Linked DNA regions of Ovis aries. The main gene of each other region encodes a partner of the protein of the gene in region 3 in a complex. Links are inferred from orthologs where the notes say so. Each region holds a gene or a part of one and is shown on either strand. Other genes may lie near its edges.

Region 1 (4,226 bases), on a different chromosome or scaffold from region 3:
TCATAGGATAAATTGAGAGTAAGCGTTCAGTTTCATTAATGCAACGCAATTAATAGCTTTCTTATGGACACACAACTGTACATTTTTTACTTATCATGCTCTTAATTTTGAGTTGACCTGTCAAACTCTAGAATTGCTGGGTTTTTTTACCTCATGCTTCTCTGTATGGACAGCTAGTAGGCTGATTATATCACTTTCAGTCCCCAAGCCACTCTTCAACTCCTTTACCTGCTTGTCTTCCAGGGAGGTGGAGATGACAGAGCAGTCTGACAGCAGGTCCTTGCGTATAACAGATCCCAAATCTGCAGCTGTGGACTCAAACATGGGGGAGACTACGACCTCCTCATCGGACAGCAAGCCAGCTGGTGGAGAAAGGATCCCTTGCGACATGGCAGCAGGGGCAGTTTAGGTCTAAAAAGAGACAAGAGTGGGTAGGGAGGAGAACCTTAAGGGATAAAAGGGGCTGAAGAATTCGCCCTCTTTTCTAGGTAAGAAACAATTCCCTTGCCCCAGGGCAACCTAGTCTCGCTGCCTGAATTCCTACTCCCTTCTCCTTTCGACTACCAGCAAACGGGAAAGAGAGAAAGAGTTAATCATTTAATCCAATCTGAGGCAGCATTTCGGACCGCGAACAGGAATGAACAGATATCTAACTCCGAAAACATAAGGCCAAGTTCCAAGTAGGGAGCCTCCCTCAGCCGTGTCAGAAGCCCTAGGCTCATTCTCTATACCTCGCTTCTAGGCCCACGGTGAGGACAGAATTATTAAGAAAAACAGAAATGGCGGCAGTTCCGCTTTCTGAATGCCTAATCCGCCAGAGCAAAGGTGCCCCAACTTGACTCAAGTTCAGCCGCACACTTACCTAAAGACGCCACACTTCTACGGGACCGGCTCACTCACACCCCACAGCCGAAACTGGGCTTTCGGCAGCTTGAGAGGACAACCCCACCCACGAAGCGCACCTTTGTTTCTGATACAATGTTTTAAATTGCGCGCTGAGTTCGTTCGGCCAATCAGATAGCGAACCTTGCACCTACCAATCAGTGCAAGGGGGCGGGCGAAACCCGGAAACGGTTTTCTTAGGCTTGACCTCTCTGCTCAAATGTGGGACGGGTTACCAACTGTTGGATTTTGGAGCTGGGTCAACTGGAACTTCTGTTTATCAGTTTTTCTTGAACCCTAGGCATTTCTTTTCTAAGAAGCCTGAAGGAAATCCTAAGGCTTCAGCCACCATTCTCTGTTCTTTCGCACATTCCTTCTCAGGAACTCACAAGAATACCTGATTTGGGGCGCTGGTTCATCCTAGGGTGGGGAGAGGGGACTACATTTCCCAGGACGCACCGCGAATAAACGCTGGAACGCTATCTCCCAGAATTCCTTGGGCTTCAATTCGGCCAGAAATCTTCCTTCGGGGGTTGGAGACGTCGGGGCCAAGATGGCGACGGGAACGGGCAGTAAGTATCTGCCTTGCTCTTGCGTGGAAGGTGTTTGTAGAACCAAGGCCAGGCAACAGATCTGTCACACTCTTAGGGAGTAGAAGCAGTGATTCACCTGAGAGCCCAGAGCCATCAGAGACTTGGGCTCGAGCGGCGCTGTTAAGGCCAGCGGTTGGGGGTTGAGGGCCCAGAAGCGTGAAGTCTTACACTTAAGTAAGGCCGCGGAGTTTTTTTGCTTTTAGAATTTTTATTTATTGGCTGCGCTGGGTCTTCGTCGCTTTCCGTGGACTGTTCTCTAGTTGCCGCGAGGAGTGCTCCTCTCTAGTTGTGGTGTGCAAGGCCACGGAGCTTTGAGAAAAGCAGCCTAAGAAAATTCTTGTATGTTTGTCAGCTCTGCGGGGTGAGAGGGAAAAAAGGTGCCTTAGAGGCTCCGGCGTGCGGACAGAGATGCTGTGAGCCATATGGAGTGGCCGGGGTCCCAAAGAGTCATTTTCTGACGAACATTTGTGAGGCCTGTACTCACAGAGAGATGGGACATGTTAATCGTGAGCTTTTTCTGCCACTAGGGAAAAAATACATTTCCTGTATCTCAGCCATTTCCCTCTGTTTCAGGGACTGAGAAGGTCTTGTAGGCCTAACAGCTTGAGGGGAATGGGTGTAACTGAGAGAAGTAAACAAGTTTATGCTAAGAAGGAGGCGGGGCAGTAGCGGGGGTTGGCCGCTCGGAATCCTGGGAAATAAGGCCTGGGGTCCACTTTGGAATAAAGCATTCTTTTTTTTTTGGCCAGGGCAGAGCTGGGAGGTTGGTGGTTGGCAGGATCATGGGACCCACGTCCCCTCTAGGGAAAAGGCACAGACTTAACCACTGGACCACCAGGGAAGTTCCTGGAATAAAGCATTCTTAAAACTGGGTTTTTTGGAAGAACTGCCCTAAATTAACTTGACTTTTTTTTTTTTAAATATGGTAGAGTAACCATGGCATTTACAGAAAAATGTTTTGCCAGATAATCAAGTGCAGTTCTCAAGCAATGAATAGGCACCATCCTAGTGGTGGTGTTTACTAGAGAGGTGAAAATCAAGATTTGGTGATAGTGGCTCACTTTGTCCTTACAGGTTAGGACATTTTTGTATTAGACTTTTAATCCTCCCTTTGGGACTTAGTGCCTCAGTGGTTGTCTCTAAATCTTTCAGAACATAAGCTGCTGAGTACTGGCCCTACAGAGCCATGGTCCATCCGAGAGAAGCTGTGTTTAGCGTCTTCTGTCATGAGGAGTGGAGATCAAAATTGGTAAGGTATTTAGGATATCTGCTTCCTTGGGTATTAGAAACCGTTTTTTTTTTTTCCCCTTCATGTAAGTACCGGTGGATTCCAGTAGTTAACGTTTAAGCAGTAGTTAACAGCCTTCTTGAGATGCAATTACATATCACAAAATTATATTCACAGAATTCCCAGTATATTCACAGGATTTAACTTAATTTATTAAAATTATTAAAACTTATTAATATTTAATTTATTAAATTCACATAATTTACATAGGACCAATGCTAGAGTCTAATTTTACATTTTAAATACACTTGAAAGAAACCTCTTACCCTTAAGGAATCACTCTGCAAATCTCTTCGCCTCTCTAATATTTCCGCCTCCCTCACCAAACACTCATCTACTTTCTGTCTCTCTATAGCTTATTCTGATCATTTCATATAGATGGAATCATATACTTTGTGGTACTCTGGGGCTTAGCATAATGCTTTCAGGGTTCATGCTGGAGTATGCATCAGTACTTTATTCTTTGTTTTGATGAAATTGTAGTTCCTTGTATGGGTTTACCACATTTTGTTCATTTGTTGATGAACATTTGAGTGGTTTTTACTTTGCTGAATATTAATGCCGCTGTGAACATTTGTGTACAAGCTTTTGTGCAGGCATGTTTTCATTTCTCTTGAAAGAGTGGAATTGCTGGATCATAGTTGAGTTCAGTCACTCAGTCGTGTCCAACTCTGCTACCCCATGGACTGCAGCACGCCAGGCTTCCCTGTCCATTACCAATTCCTGGAGTTTACTCAGACTCATGTCCATTGAGTTGGTGATACCATCCAACCATCTCATCCTCTGTTGTCCCCTTCTCCCGCCTTCAATCTTTCCCAGCATCAGGTCTTTTCAAATGAGTCAGCTCTTCAAATCAGGTGGCCAAAATATTGGAGTTTCAGTTTCAACATCAGTCCTTCCAGTGAATATTCAGGACTGATTTCCTTTAGGGTGGACTGGTTTGATTTCCTTTCAGTCCAAGGGACTCTCAATGGATCATATTATAACTCATATTTATCTTTTTGAGGAACTGCTTTCAAACTAAAAAGTGGCCTCACCGTTTTACATTCCCACCAGCAATAAATGAGGGACCCAGTTTTTCTGCATGCTTGGCAAACATTTAGTCTTTTTGATTATAGCTATACTGCTGAGTGTGAAATGGTATTGTATTGTGGTTTTAATTTGTGTTTCTTTTAAGTACCAGAAAGTAGGACTGTGTGTGTTTTCCAATCTTTTTTTCTACCAGGACATAGTCTCATTTTTAACATTTGGTCTCCCCGCCCCCGACTTTTTTTTTTCTCTCCGTATCTAAAGTTACCTTTTAGTTGTCTTAAGTGTTAAAATTACTTAATAAACAAATTTGCATTTGTAGGGTTTATCTCTACTACTTTAACCATTCAAATGAGTTTATGAAAGCACCATTACTGATCACATGTAACACTTCTACAATTCTATGTATTTTTCAAATAACTTTTCAAAGAGAA
Region 2 (3,517 bases), on a different chromosome or scaffold from region 3:
CGTATTTAAGTTACAGACCAAGTAAAAGAGTGTATGTAGTCAGATATTTTCACATCACATCTTTCTTCACATCAAAGCATGTATATTCAGTATATGAGTTTGGTCATCTAAATATGAAATGTTTTTATTATGTCCTAGATGCAATGGATCAGCTAGAACAAAGAGTCAGTGAATTCTTCATGAATGCAAAGAAAAATAAGCCAGAGTGGCGAGAAGAACAAATGGCTTCCATCAAAAAGGTGTGTTCAACGCTCTGGATGATTTATCTGTAAATACTGGAACTCTCCGAGGAAGATAGGGGATTCCCAGGAGTCGTGACGGTAAAGAATCCACCTGCCAGTGCAGGAGACCTAAGAGACTCGGATTTCATCCCTGGGTCAGAAAGATCCCCTGCAATAGGAAATGGCAACCTGCTCCAGTGTTCTAGCCTGAAAAATTTCATGGACAGAGGAGCCTGGCAAGCTACAGTCCCTGGGGTCACAAAAGACTGAACACGACTTTCAGCAGTTGAAAATTGGACGTAACTGAGCACAGCACAGCTGAGGAAGACATTTTAATATTAAATGGGGGGGGATATCAAAATGAGAGAAAGTTATCAGTAGCTCTTTAGAATTTTAAAATGACTTACAAAATTAAAAATGATTCATTACATTTTAGAGCTTCAGGTGTAGGAACTTTCAAACATTGAAGCATTTTGGTAATTTAGAACAGTATTTCAATAATCAGTGACTAATCAGAGAGTTACAAAGCCATTTAAAAAGTACATTTTTTTCTTTTAATTTGTTTTATTCTAATTATGGGGAATTAAAGTTCCCTTGTCTTAAGATCTATTGGGTTGGCCAAAAAGCTCATTCAGCTCATAAAATGTGATGGAAAAACTCAAATGACCTTTTTGACCAACTCAGTATAGTATCTTCCAATTTGGGCAACAGACTGGGATGAAAATTAGCAACCTTGAAGCATATTTCATATATTGCTAAGTACCTATGTTGGTGGAATCATAGGAGAACAGAATGCTGACAAGTTTTGTAGTACTTAGAGCTCCCTTCCAGATTAGAATGGGTAGCAGCTCTCTCCTCAAGGTTTGCTTTAGAGATATGGTCTAGTTAATTTGCGGACATATTGGAAGAATGATTTACAAGCCCTGGGTTTGATCATGACTCTGCAGTTTGACTTTGTGATGTGGGACATGTCCTTTAATATCTCTGAGTAATAATGGCTCCCTTACCCTTACCCTTCATAGAATTATTCAACTGAGAAAGAAATTTGGAAACTACTTGTGTTATCTGTTTTACTACATGAAGGGAATATTATTTCTGTTAGGAACAAAAACATGAGAATCTTTTGTAGAATTAACCCTGACTTGCAGGATACCTGGAGGCCCGAGTGTGTGTGAGTATAGACATCACACATATACATCCTAAAGTCATTCATCATCCCCTTTTCCTACTAAGTTTCTGGTGCAGCACAGCCTGGATATACCCTAAAAACTCTTGACAGTTCATGGAAATTCATAGAATTTAAGAAAAAATAGTTTGTTTTATACTGGAGAGAACTGATACCTAGCTTAAAATGAGAGTCGCAGAACAACTGCACAATGGATGTGCAGGTCAGAAGCCTTTCAGTAGTTCTTTATAATAAGTGTTAAAAATGGAGAGTGTAAACACTCTTTACAAACTAGATGAATCCTAAGTAACATCTATTTTTAAAGAAAAAGAATTACTCTTTGGCTGACCTAATTTTGACTAGTATAGCTAGACCTGGATGGTGTTTATTTGTTATCTCTTTTCTAGGAATTCTGAACATCTTCCTTTAATCCTTGGTTGTTGTCTAAGATTTCTAATACTATCCCATCCCCACCCTATACCTAACTGGATTTTTATGGCTCATGTATAATGTATGTTCCTGAGTGCTTAGTCACTCAGTCGTGTCTGACTCTTTGCAACCCCATGGACTGGAGTCCTCCAGGTTCCTCTGTCCATAGGATTCTCCAGGCAAGAATACTGGAGTAGATAACCATTCTCTTTTCCAGGGGATTGTCCCAACACAAGGATTGAACCTAGGTCTCCCTCATTGCAGGTTGATTCTTTACCATCGGAGCCACCAGGGAAGCTCTGTAATGACTGACAGTGATAACAAGCCATGATAATGCAAATGCAGTTATAGGTCCTGGATACACAGATTTTTAAGTTATTAATTTGTTCCTGAAACATGAATGTTTTTATTCAGGATTACTATAAAGCTTTGGAAGATGCAGACGAGAAGGTTCAGTTGGCAAACCAGATATATGACTTGGTAAGTAAAAATTAATAGCCATAAGTATTTGAATTATGGATTATGTTTTAAATGGTGTTGACTTAAATGTAATAGGAAGGACAGACTAAACTGAATTATTGCTCGTTGGATCTCATTTAACTTCAGAGTTCACTGTCCACTTTTTGATTTCTTTGTGGAAGAGAGAGAGTCCACAGTCAGTAAGTTAAGAACCTTACATTTAGCCATATCTACGTCACTGTAAGATTGTAGCTGTTGTTAGGCTTTTTTTTTGTATTAAAATAGGTGCTTAACTTTATTTTACTAATTTTTATCTTCTTAAGGTAGTGTGTTTACTTGCCCAATAAAACATCTTGAGATAGTTTCTGTGGCAGAACTCTCCTAAGGGGATTGTGCTGACAGTTCTTGGTAGTCCTGATTAAAGTGAAAAAGGGACCTACTTGAATCTGTTAATAGATAGTACTCAGCTGTCTATTAAGTGAAATTCATTAGATAGTACTCAACAACTGGCACACGTGGCAAAACTGGGAAATACAAGATTAAATAGACTTAAAAATTTTTTTCTTTTTTTAACAGTAGCAGCAGCACTTCTTAATGATTGAAATCACTAAGAAGATAGATATATGCAATATTTCTCAGGTTGTTATAGTCTGTCTTCTTCTTTTGTTTTAATGTACAGCGTGTCCCAAAGTTTATGTTTTAGGAAATGCTCTTTTTTGGTTCTGCCTCAAAGCAAGTTAAAGCTAGAGACAAATGTTTCCTTTTGATTTGCTTTAGCATATTGATTCATATCTTATTTTTGTAGTCTTGTCTGGGTACAGTTTTTTTATTGAACGGGTACATGTTAATATAGGTGTCATTGGTGAGTAAGACACAGATAAAAGGTACATACCCCATATGCTATGCATTGTGAGTGCTATACTAAACTAGAAAATATATGTTGTATAAAACCACAGAAAATGGTTAATTGCTTTTATATAGTGAAAGTATTTTAATGGCTGTAACAACCTAGGCTGTTTTGTTCATCAGTTCAGTTCAGTCGCTCAGTCGTGTCCGACTCTTTGCGACTCCATGAATCGCAGCACGCCAGGCCTCCCTGTCCATCAGTTACTCTAAAAACAGTTTCATAAAAGATGCTGCCTAAAGACGGGTAGAGTGGGCTGGTGGCTTGATTTATGGTGGAATGAAACCCAAATAAAGTTCTTAATTGTTTTGGTCTTGAATTAAGTCTATAAACAAAGAG
Region 3 (3,517 bases):
TGATAAAGCTGAGAATGAAAGGAAAATCAGTATCTCTTGGCCCCTAGACCCATGTTTTTTACTACCATCACTTCTGGTGTATATGATACTGTGCATTTCTTCTAGAACATTTATCAGAAATGTCCAGGGAAATTTTTATAACTAGACTCTGGAGTTTAGAGATATGTAAGAAATAGGCTAACATAGGGATCTAAAATCACAGTGAGTGTTAGTGATCTAAAGTGTTGGTCGCATTTTTTTTTTTAATTTCTAGATCTGCATTAGGAAGTTAACAGTTGTTTAAAAAATGAAATTCACAAAACCCTCAGAGACTGAGGACTGAAATGTTGACTTAAATAGGGTAAAATATTTGGAACCTTTATTGAAATCGATTTATAACTTAATATTGCTAATTTTAAGTCACAAACACCAGCAAAGTTCTGCAAAAGAATATTTTCATTCATATAAATGGAGTTCTGAACACAGATCTATTCTAGTGAATGCTAAATTATTGTTTTTTAGGTGTGTAATGATGTAACCTTCCAGTAATGGGGTTTTTTGTTGTTGTTGTTGTTGTTGTTTTTTCAAGTTTATTAAGCATCTCCTACCAGGAAATTCAAGATTTAGGCAACTCACTCAAGCTTAGGAAATTAAAGTAGATGATGCAAAAACATATTAGCAATACTTAAATTGTCTTTTTGGCATTAAGCAGTTTCTTTTTATGAAATTTTTTAAGCATAAAGATAAATATTATGTTAATTGTAATCTGTTTCAAGACAGCCTTATTTAAAAAAAATTTTTTTTAAGTTCTGATTTAACTTATTTCTGTTATATGGAAATGGTCATTTTGACAGAAACTTGCTTTTATGAAACTATTTATGGATTATCCTTTTAGCAATAAAAAAATGTATTTATCAATAAAAAAGAATTTTTCCTGCAGAGTTCAGAGCTGAGGATTACCAACATAGTAGGAAAAAAACAGGGCTTCCCTGGTGGCTCAGTTGTGAAGAATCCACCTGCCAATCAGGCGATAATGGGTTCAGTCTCTGGGCCAGGAAGATCCCCTGAAGAAGGAAATGGCAACCCATTCCAGTATTCTTGCCTGGGAAATCCTGTGGACACAGGAGCCTGGGGACACAGTCCATGGGGTCGCAAAAGAATCGAGCATGACTGACTAAATAACAAGAAGAATCTCATCACAGGACATATATCAACTAAACAGATGTGTAACACCAAAAATAGGAAAATAAATGGTAGAGTTTTTCCAACAAATGATTTTTTGCCTTTGTAACCCAGGAAATTAGTTCAGCTCAAGTATGAAAGTCTGTGTAAGTACTGCAACTTCAGAGGTTTTCTGAAATATTATGTCACAGTTTTCTGACTTGTTTAAAATATGGTAGAATTTCTACCTAACTTCTAGCTAAGTATTTTCTAGTTGTCCTAGGCAGAAACTCTGCCCCAGAAGATAAAGATTCTCATGAGTTATAAGGGAAAATTGCAAAACTTGATGATGTAATATTCTAAATAAATTATCAAAACATCTTTAAAGATGACAAATTAGTTGACAGTATTTTGAAGACATTAAACCTTAGATTGAGGGAATATGCATGGTTTATAGATTCCCTAGTGACTGAGGATGCATGCTAACCCTTTTTTTTCTGTTCTGAAATAATTCTTACCCAAACACCACAGGCTTCTTAAAGAAGCCTTAAAGTCAGATGTTGTGATTGTATGTACGTTTTTTTCTTTTTTTTTTTTTAATTGGCAAAAAAAAAAAAGAAAAAGGTTTTCCTTTTTAAAAACTGCACACACTTTTTGGGGGGGTAATAAATGAACATTTTTTTGTTTGTTTTTTTTAGAACTGAGCTCTCCATAGACAAACATAAGTAGCATAACACAGTGTCTTTCCTCAGACATCATTCTGTACAGTAAGCCAACATAAACAACTCCGTTCTTATTGACTGGATTTTTTCCAGGTGGGTTAATTGGGTGGGGAAAATTAATTAACCTTTGGAGCCTCTTTTCTTCCTGTTAAACTTAAAGGATGGGTTCTTTTTTTAAAAAAAAAAAAAAAAGGTAATAAACCAACAACCTTATATTTCATATGGAGGAAATATTTGTAATGACTAAAATTCAGAACTATGTAGAACAGCTAGTATTTCTGCACAGAACTGCTGGAGATCATCTGAATGGATTAGGACAGTAGTATGAATAAATAAAGACACCAGATGGTAATTATTGTATCTCTTCTTAAGCTCAGTGCAAAGCTGAATTTCCAACATGCGGTTGAAAAAAGCTGGTATTACCTTTTACACTGTCTGGCACAAGTGTCACAGCTTACCAAAAAAATAATGGTTTCAAAGCTTGGGAAGTGAGCACTTCTCTTTGGTATGTGCAACTCAAAGTTTCACTTTATTTCTCTTTAAACTCAAGCCACTCTTGTCAAGCGTGGTTATAAAAAATGCTGAAATTCTCATTCAGAAGTGATCTTTAACAGGATGCTCAAATGCTTTCATTTTGCGCAAATTTTTTTAAATGCTTAAATGTGTTTTCGTATATTGTAAGTTGCATGTGATAGCTGTGCGTTTCTATAAAGTGTTCTCTCGTTTTATGTTCAGCATTTACAGCCGAACAATACCAGCAACATCAACAGCAGCTGGCACTCATGCAGAAACAGCAGCTTGCACAAATTCAGCAACAGCAAGCAAGTAGTAATTCCGCCACCACCATGCCACAGGTGAGGGATTTGTCTGTCTTATGATTATCCCTCATGTTTCCCACCAGAGTTCATCTCTAATTACCAACTGTTGTCATAGAGCCTTGCATCTAACCAGCAGAAAAGTGGCTTTCGCCTGAATCTACATCATAGCCACTCTATACAGGGTTTAGAAAGAACATTACAGGTGAGTATAGAAGCTGTCACCCTCTGCTTCCTATTGTAAAAAAGTAAAACCTAAAAGCGCAAATGAGATGGAGACCCTGTCCTCAAGCCTGATCTTGTAGTCTGTGAATGTACCTCTTTAACTTACAGCCCCACCCAGCTCATTATCTGGAGAACTTTTAATTCTTCTTAAAATGTATTAAAAATTATGCTAAAATAACTTCTTTTACTCTTAAAAGAAATCACTTTTGAACCTAAAGCATGATAAATATTGGCCATTTAAGCACATTTATAGAACTTAACGGAAGGCTGAGATTTGTGTCTCTAGACATCTGAGAGGAAAATATCATTTAAAAAATTCAAGGGGCCTCTTAATCTCTAGGCTGAGTTAGGATGCGATTGATGTTTTGTTCCTCTGTTCTAAAGGGGTAGTCACCTTACTGTCCCTTGGCTGCCTTAGGTTGTGTATGTATGTGTGTAAGTTTGGTGAAGGGAGTTTTGCCTACTCACCCATTCATTATATGAATTTATTCATGCAGTGATTCATTGCAAATCACCAAAATGTTTTACTAGCATGTTTCTTGTTTAACACTTTGTGTTGGAGGTTTACCATTTCCACATTTTAAAGGTTTATTTTGGTAATTTCATATTATATAT
Region 4 (3,517 bases), on a different chromosome or scaffold from region 3:
CAGTATGACATTGTCACACCTAACTCAAAAGGGAGTCCTATATGCCAAATTCTTTTAGCAGTGTGCTCATCTTTACACACAGCTTGTCAGCATAACCATGGCGTCTTCCTTCTTAATGAAAAATAAAGCCCATTTCATAAGGCTTGGCAGCCAAACAAAGAGGAATGGATATCCTGCCTTAATTTAATGCATACATTCCACTACATCTGTCTGCTGAAATTGGTTTATCCTCACAGAAATTAATACATGGTCTTTGTGTTAATATATGGTAGCTTAATCTGTTACCTATCTTCCTTCCAGCCTCTCCTTTTCTGATCATATCTGCTGGCAATAGGGATGGCCCTACAGTCTAGAATGATATAGGGGGAGATAGCAGAACCTGAAGAGTCCATTCTTTCCATTTAAAAATAGCAGAAAGAGGTAGTCATAGTGGATGTATTATTTTTTGTACAGCTCAGGAAGATAGTTACGTGTATCCTTCCAGAATTAGAAATACTTGAGATAGGCCACTGTATCCAAGTGATTGAAGTATATTCTTTGCTTGCTACTTAAAGAAATAGCCATAAGTTGATTCTGTGTTTGGTTTCTAGACTTATCCTAGTTCAGTATTATTTGACATTTTCTTCCTGTCCTTCAGAAATTCCTTAAGCTGTTGAGAGCATATGGGTTGAGTACTGTTTTAAGCTAACCCCCTTTTGGGTTAGCGACTACCCAAGATGAGCAGCCTTGCATGGAAGACATTTGTCCAGTGTTCAGATGGACTAGTTTGCGTGACTCTTGGATATCTTTGTGTTTAGTCATCTTTTAGCTTTGAAGCTATTTTGTCTTTTCCTGATTTGTTCATGTTATCAAGTCTTTTACATCCTTACCTAATACTTCTTGTGATCAGGGTTCTGAATTGTATTTAATGAGGAGCTGATTATCAAGGGCCACAGAGACTGTTTGGTATTATCAGCATTTAAATTCCTAAATTCATTTTGGTTTAATTAGCCTTTGCTAAATTCCAAATAATGATAAACTGCCTCAAATTTAAGGATTAAAATATAATGGAAATTGTAATTTGGAAACACACTAAATGTTGGCAAATCCCTTCATGATATTCATTTAATTAGTTTTCTACGTCCCCATCTTAACCATTTGTGTGGAGGCTGATTACTATCAGATCTAACATTGAAAGTTTTCTTTGTTTATTGTAATTCCTGCGTGAGAAATTTTGAAATAATAAATCATTTAATAATTTACTATGTACGATTCTCCAAAATCTCTTTAACTTCACCGTTTTAACAACTTTATCTGGTGCTTTTGCCACAAGTCTGTTGTAACAGACTATGTTTCTGTTCTGCGAACTTAACTGAAGTTGAAAATACAGATAACTAAGTTTTGTTTCTCTGTGTTACTGGAAACCACATTGCTGATTGAAATTCTTTCTTTCTACTCTTTAGCCAGATCTTTTAAAATTAGAGGTTAAGGTAAAGTACATTCATTCAGTTCATGATAAAATAATGAATTTTTAAGTCAACTTTTTCCTGTGAAACCTAATATCAAGTTTGTAATTTGGCATTTATAAAAATTGCTCTCAAGTCTTATATTTGAGCACTATTGAATTTTGAACTGGGTATAGATCAGTTCTAGTATATGTGAATTCTCTTCGTCTTGAGCTTGTCCCTGACACTGGCTTTTTCTAAATAGAATTCTGTGATGCAAGGGATAACAATTATATTTTTAGGAAAAAAGAATGAATTAAATGGTATTTTTAGTTTAATGTTACCATGATTGAATAATAGTGCTTAATTTTGAACCATATGTTTTAGGCTTTATTTAATAAGATGATAATTTAATAATTTTTATATGACAGGCACCTATGGGGACCTGCTGGGGTGATATCTCAGAAAATGTGAGAGTAGAAGTTCCCAATACAGACTGCAGCCTACCTACCAAAGTCTTCTGGATCGCTGGAATAGTAAAATTAGCAGGTGAAAAACATGCATAATAATTCACTTTAAAAAATCACGTGTATTTGTAATTTGTAAGAAAACATTTTTGTAAATTTTCAAATATTGCCAAGTAAGTATGATATAGGGCAAAGGTTAGCAAACTTTTTTTTTGTTAAAAACAAAGCAAAGCAGTGAATATATTTAGCTTTGTGACCAAAGCAGTCTCTGTCACAACCATTTAACTCTATCATAGCATAGGATCAGCCAAAGCAACGCATAAATGAACAGGCATGGCATAAATGAATGTGTTCTAGTAACCCTTGATTTATGGGCACTAAAATTTGAGTTTCATGTAATTGTTACATATCAAAAAATATTACTTTACATCTAATTTTTTTTCAACCATTTAAAAATGTAAAAACTATTATGGATGACAGTAGGCCAAATCTGCGGGCCCTATAGTTTCCTCAACCTCTGATACAGGGAAATATTTCAGAAAGTAACAAAAAGTATTAAAAAAAAGTGATACGGTCCATAATATCAGAAGTAAACTAATGATGAAAATTTCATCTATTTTGGGTACTATATTTTCTTCAGTCCCACCTCTTCCATGTATCCCAGCCCACAAAGTAAATGTGTTAGGTATCTACTATGTTAGACCCTGTGGACAGGTGATGTGCAAACTTAAAAGATTTTTTTGGTGAGTGTACATCTGCTAAATATTGAATATGTTTTATGATAAGGTGCTTAGTAAGTGGTATAGTAGGATACTGTGATACTTCAGAGGAGGAGCAGCCACTCAGATAATGAAAGGTATCCTGTGATTACTGGAAGAGGTATCTTACTCATCCTACTCTTTCTAGTCTTATCTCCAGCCATCTTCCCAAAAATGCCTTGCCTATTCCACCCTGTGTACTGCTGATAGACTTAATTTACCTAAAAATGATCTCAATTCCATTTTTCTGTCTTTAGCGCCTTCTTTGTCCTTAAAGGATCAGGATGGTCAGCATTTACAACTATTGTTAAGTTTCACTGTACACCACTGAACAGATTTTTTATTGTTCCCCGACGTAAAAGATCTGTTCTGCTGAGATTAGTTTTCCTTCTCTCTCATATAACATATTCTATGTCACCTTCATTCCTTTTCTCATTCTCACTCTCTCACTTACCTTATTTAACCCAGTACAGTTCCTACCTTTTCCATGAAACATTTCCCCAGCTTATGTAAGTGAAAAAGTGAAAGTGTTAGTTGCTCAGTCCTGTCTGACTCTTTGGAATTCCGTGGACTGTAGTCTGCCAGGCTCCTCTGTCTGTGGAATTCTCCAGGCAAGAATAGTGGAGTGGGTAGCCATTCCCTTCTCCAGGGGATCTTACTGACCCAGGGATCAAATCTTGCATTGCAATCAGATTCTTTACCATCTGAACCACCAGGGAAGCCCCCAGCTATATAGACATTATCTAAATATTCCCTGTACCTTGTTTAAAACAGCAATATATATTTTTTGCTTGATATTTAAATCACTTGCATATAAATGGCTCTAAAGATCAATGTATTTAATACTCAGTAATTATTTCTATCTTCC
Region 5 (3,517 bases), on a different chromosome or scaffold from region 3:
GGGTCACAAAGAGTTGGACACAACTGAGCACATAGATTGAATGCAACCTTCTTTTCAAATCTTGTAGCTCTTTAGGGCATTCAGTTAGTGTTGGAAGGAGGCTGTGATGAAGCCAAAAGCAGTCAGCTAGGAAGACTTCTACCAGAGACAGACCTGCTTTGCTTAGGTCTAAATCCTTATTCCATAAACATGCTGTGCACATTCTTGCTTCTGTACCTTTGTTCCTGTCATTTGCTCTGCCTGGGATTCCCTCTTCCCTCTTGGCTGTCTAAATACTAGCAGTGTTTTAAACCATGGCTCAAATCCTCTTCATTCTTTAAAGTCTGAAGCAGAGTTTAGTAAACTACAACCTGCTGGCTGAATCTAACCCACTATCTATTTTAATCTGGTCCTTTGCAGAAAAAGTTTGCCAACTATTGGTCTAAAGGAATAAAGTCTAACATTTAGACTTTTCCAGGCCATCAGTCCACAGCAGGTGTGCCTTCCTCTGATCACCCATAACATTTTATTGCCATTTGGTAGTTTATATGTTGCCCTGTATTAAAACTTCCATTTATAATGATGTCTTTTCCTATACTTGACTGTGAGACCCTGAAGGGGGAGACCAAACCGTATCCTTTTGTACCCCAGCACTTAACACAGTGTGCTGTGCTGGGAGCCAGCACGGGAGGGTGCTGCAGGTAAAGGGCAGTCAGTTAACGTTGGAAGGGGTGGTGCTGGAGCCAAAGACCATCAGCCCTTCTTGCCTGAGGAAAATGAAAGGCTAGGCTGGGAAGGAGAGTGGGGCAGCCCTTATCAACAGGCAAAGGGATTCTCTTCCTCCTAGAGGGGCGTTAATAACTGGTAGTGAGAACCTCATCTCCCTGTGTCCTCAGGAATCAGGAGATGATGAGTATCAAGGGGACCAGTCCGACACAGAGGATGAGGTGGACTCTGACTTTGATATCGACGAAGGGGATGAACCATCCAGTGATGGAGAAGCGGAAGAGCCAAGAAGGAAGCGCCGAGTAGTCACCAAAGCATATAAGGTGCAGGGGAGGCCTGGTTTTCTTGGACTTCCTTAATTTGTATTCTCCCTTTCATCAGGTCTCATTATGCCCCACACCAATCCCACTTCCTGCTCTGCTGGTTTTCTCTTCCTAACATCTTCATTGTCTCCCAATATCTTCTCTTCCCTGGTATCTGATTTCACTCTGTCCCCAGGAGCCTCTCAAGAGCCTGAGGCCTCGAAAGGTCAGCACCCCAGCTGGTAGCTCTCAGAAGACTCGAGAAGAGAAGGCACTGCTTCCATTAGAACTACAGGATGATGGCACTGACAGTGAGTGGGGATGTTTGAGTCAATAGACAAAGTTGAAGTGTTGTGATAAAGTACTGTATTCATGTTAAGTTTACTGAAGTTGATAACTTTACTATGAGCATGTAGGAATAATTCTAATTAGGAAATATACACCGAGTATTTAGGGAAGAGAGCCATGATGTTGATGTGCATAACTTAACTCTCAGATTATTCAGAAAATACGCACACACAGATTGCAAATAGGGCAAAATGTTAACAGAGGATTTGGCAAAGGATTCATGGATGTTCTTTGTACTATTCTTAACTTTTTTGTAAGTTTGAAATGATTTCCAAATAAAAAGCTTTAAAATTAAATTCAGAGAAGGTAGACATGAGTTCAAAGATTTCTTCCCCTATGATTTCCTTCCCAGGTCGGAAGTCCATGCGTCAGTCTACAGCTGAGCACACACGACAAACATTCCTTCGGGTACAGGAGAGGCAGGGCCAGTCACGGCGACGGAAGGGGCCCCACTGTGAGCGGCCACTGACCCAGGAGGAGCTGCTCAGGGAGGCCAAGATCACAGAGGAGCTCAACTTACGTTCACTGGGTCAGTCTTTGGTTTTGAGAACAGTGGGTAGAGGGGCTGAGAAGCACAAGGAAAAGTTAGATCTAGAGGCCCCAAAGAATTGGACAGATGGAGATTTGGGACAAGAGAAATCAGAAGAAAGATACGGGGAGAGAAAGTGATTAGGAGCAAGGAAGTAGGCAGTAATGAGGGCCCTGAAGAACAAGTTACATTAAAGTGCTTTGGTATTAAAATAGGAATTGTATGGAAAGGAGTTCAGATTCTAGCTCCACTGCTCACTTGCTATAAGACTGCAGGCAAATTACTTACAACCTGCTTGTGTCTTTCTTTCCTTGTTCACAAAATGCAATGAGATGATAATGCTGCTTTAATGATCATGAGAATTAGAAATTCAGTAGAATCAGTCCGTTCATGAGATACATTGCTTTAAGGTTAAAGTTCTATAAGATCTCTTCAGTTTATGGGCTACTGGGCACACAGTCCTGTATGGGAACATTCAGTACAAAAGCATACATTTCTTTAAGGGGCGGTGAGAGTTCTCAGATCATGAGAGATGAATGAGGGAGCAGCAGATTTCACTCCCCGCATCATGTGCTCACTCTGGAGCATATGTGCATTGAGTGAAATAACGGGGGAAATCTACAATATTTGGTTTGCTGTTTCTCTCTCTCTGAATCTTTTTTTCCTCAAGCACATATAATTGAATATGCATAACCCAAATACAGTTTTACTGTGGTGTGGAAGATTGTTTACCCAGAATATCTGGGAGCCAACTCAGTTTAGTTCAATGGTATCCTTGGTATCCTAAGGACTTCCTTGGTGGCTCAGACGGTTAAGCGTCTGCCTACAATGCGGGAGACCTGGGTTCAATCCCTGGGTCAGGAAGATCTCTTGGAGAAGGAAATGGCAACCCACTCCAGTATTCTTGCCTAGAAAATCCCCTGGACGGAGGAGCCTGGTAGGCTCCATGGGGGAAAAGAGTTGGACACGACTGAGTGACTTCACTTTCACTAACTCATTTTAGTTTAATGGTATCAGTAGTTTTGAAATGTAGCTACCTTCACTCCAGAAAGTTCCCTGGTGGTCTAGTGGTTAGGACTTGGTGGTCTCACTACCTCGCCTGGGTTCTATTCCCGGTCATTGAAGCACATCTTTGGGGCTTCCTTGATAGCTCAGTTGGTAACGAATCTGCCTGCAGTGCAGGAAACCTGGGTTCAATTCCTGTGTTGGGAATATCCACTGGAGAAGGGATAGGCTATGCACTCCAGTATTCTTGGGTATCCCTGGTAGCTCAGCTGGTAAAGAATCCACCTGCAATGTGGGAGACCTGGATTCGATCCCTGGGTTGGGAAGATCCCCTGGAGAAGGGAAAGGCTACCCACTCCGGAGAATTCCATGGACTGTATAGTCCATGGGGTCACAAAGAGTTGGACATGACTGAGTGACTTTCACTTTCACTCCAAAAGACCACAAAAGATTTAATTTTCAACATTTTCAGGGTGTATTGTCACGACTTTTAAAAAATATTTATATTTGGCTGTGCTGGGTCTTCGTTCTGCCCTCAGGCTCTCTCTCATTGCCGAGAGCAGAGGTTCTTCTTCATTGTCGTAGGGTGGCTTCTTGCGTGGAACACAGGCTTTGGGGCATGAGGGTT

The links.
Region 1: EPC1 (region 3) and BRD8 share a complex: the UniProt entries of both Homo sapiens proteins name them as parts of the nuA4-related complex. The link is inferred for Ovis aries from reciprocal best matches to the Homo sapiens genes EPC1 and BRD8.
Region 2: EPC1 (region 3) and ING3 share a complex: the UniProt entries of both Homo sapiens proteins name them as parts of the nuA4 histone acetyltransferase complex. The link is inferred for Ovis aries from reciprocal best matches to the Homo sapiens genes EPC1 and ING3.
Region 4: EPC1 (region 3) and MBTD1 share a complex: the UniProt entries of both Homo sapiens proteins name them as parts of the nuA4 histone acetyltransferase complex. The link is inferred for Ovis aries from reciprocal best matches to the Homo sapiens genes EPC1 and MBTD1.
Region 5: EPC1 (region 3) and VPS72 share a complex: the UniProt entries of both Homo sapiens proteins name them as parts of the nuA4-related complex. The link is inferred for Ovis aries from reciprocal best matches to the Homo sapiens genes EPC1 and VPS72.

What each region holds. Positions count from the first base shown.
Region 1 is NC_056058.1:47,270,508-47,274,733, reverse strand, and holds the start of BRD8 (bromodomain-containing protein 8), read left to right. Parts: upstream 1-1,426; 5' UTR 1,427-1,435; coding exon 1,436-1,454; intron 1,455-2,627; coding exon 2,628-2,724; intron 2,725-4,226. Other genes in the region: kinesin-like protein KIF20A, read right to left, coding at 229-390. UniProt on the Homo sapiens protein: May act as a coactivator during transcriptional activation by hormone-activated nuclear receptors (NR). Isoform 2 stimulates transcriptional activation by AR/DHTR, ESR1/NR3A1, RXRA/NR2B1 and THRB/ERBA2.
Region 2 is NC_056057.1:87,076,245-87,079,761, forward strand, and holds part of ING3 (inhibitor of growth protein 3), read left to right. Parts: intron 1-138; coding exon 139-239; intron 240-2,229; coding exon 2,230-2,295; intron 2,296-3,517. UniProt on the Homo sapiens protein: Component of the NuA4 histone acetyltransferase (HAT) complex which is involved in transcriptional activation of select genes principally by acetylation of nucleosomal histones H4 and H2A.
Region 3 is NC_056066.1:32,590,636-32,594,152, forward strand, and holds part of EPC1 (enhancer of polycomb homolog 1), read left to right. Parts: intron 1-1,838; coding exon of another isoform or gene 1,839-1,855; exon of another isoform or gene 1,856-1,955; intron 1,956-2,597; coding exon 2,598-2,716; intron 2,717-2,795; coding exon 2,796-2,882; intron 2,883-3,517. UniProt on the Homo sapiens protein: Component of the NuA4 histone acetyltransferase (HAT) complex, a multiprotein complex involved in transcriptional activation of select genes principally by acetylation of nucleosomal histones H4 and H2A.
Region 4 is NC_056064.1:35,292,887-35,296,403, forward strand, and holds part of MBTD1 (MBT domain-containing protein 1), read left to right. Parts: intron 1-1,855; coding exon 1,856-1,973; intron 1,974-3,517. UniProt on the Homo sapiens protein: Chromatin reader component of the NuA4 histone acetyltransferase complex, a multiprotein complex involved in transcriptional activation of select genes principally by acetylation of nucleosomal histones H4 and H2A.
Region 5 is NC_056054.1:101,078,598-101,082,114, reverse strand, and holds part of VPS72 (vacuolar protein sorting-associated protein 72 homolog), read left to right. Parts: intron 1-875; coding exon 876-1,028; intron 1,029-1,203; coding exon 1,204-1,318; intron 1,319-1,707; coding exon 1,708-1,884; intron 1,885-3,517. UniProt on the Homo sapiens protein: Deposition-and-exchange histone chaperone specific for H2AZ1, specifically chaperones H2AZ1 and deposits it into nucleosomes.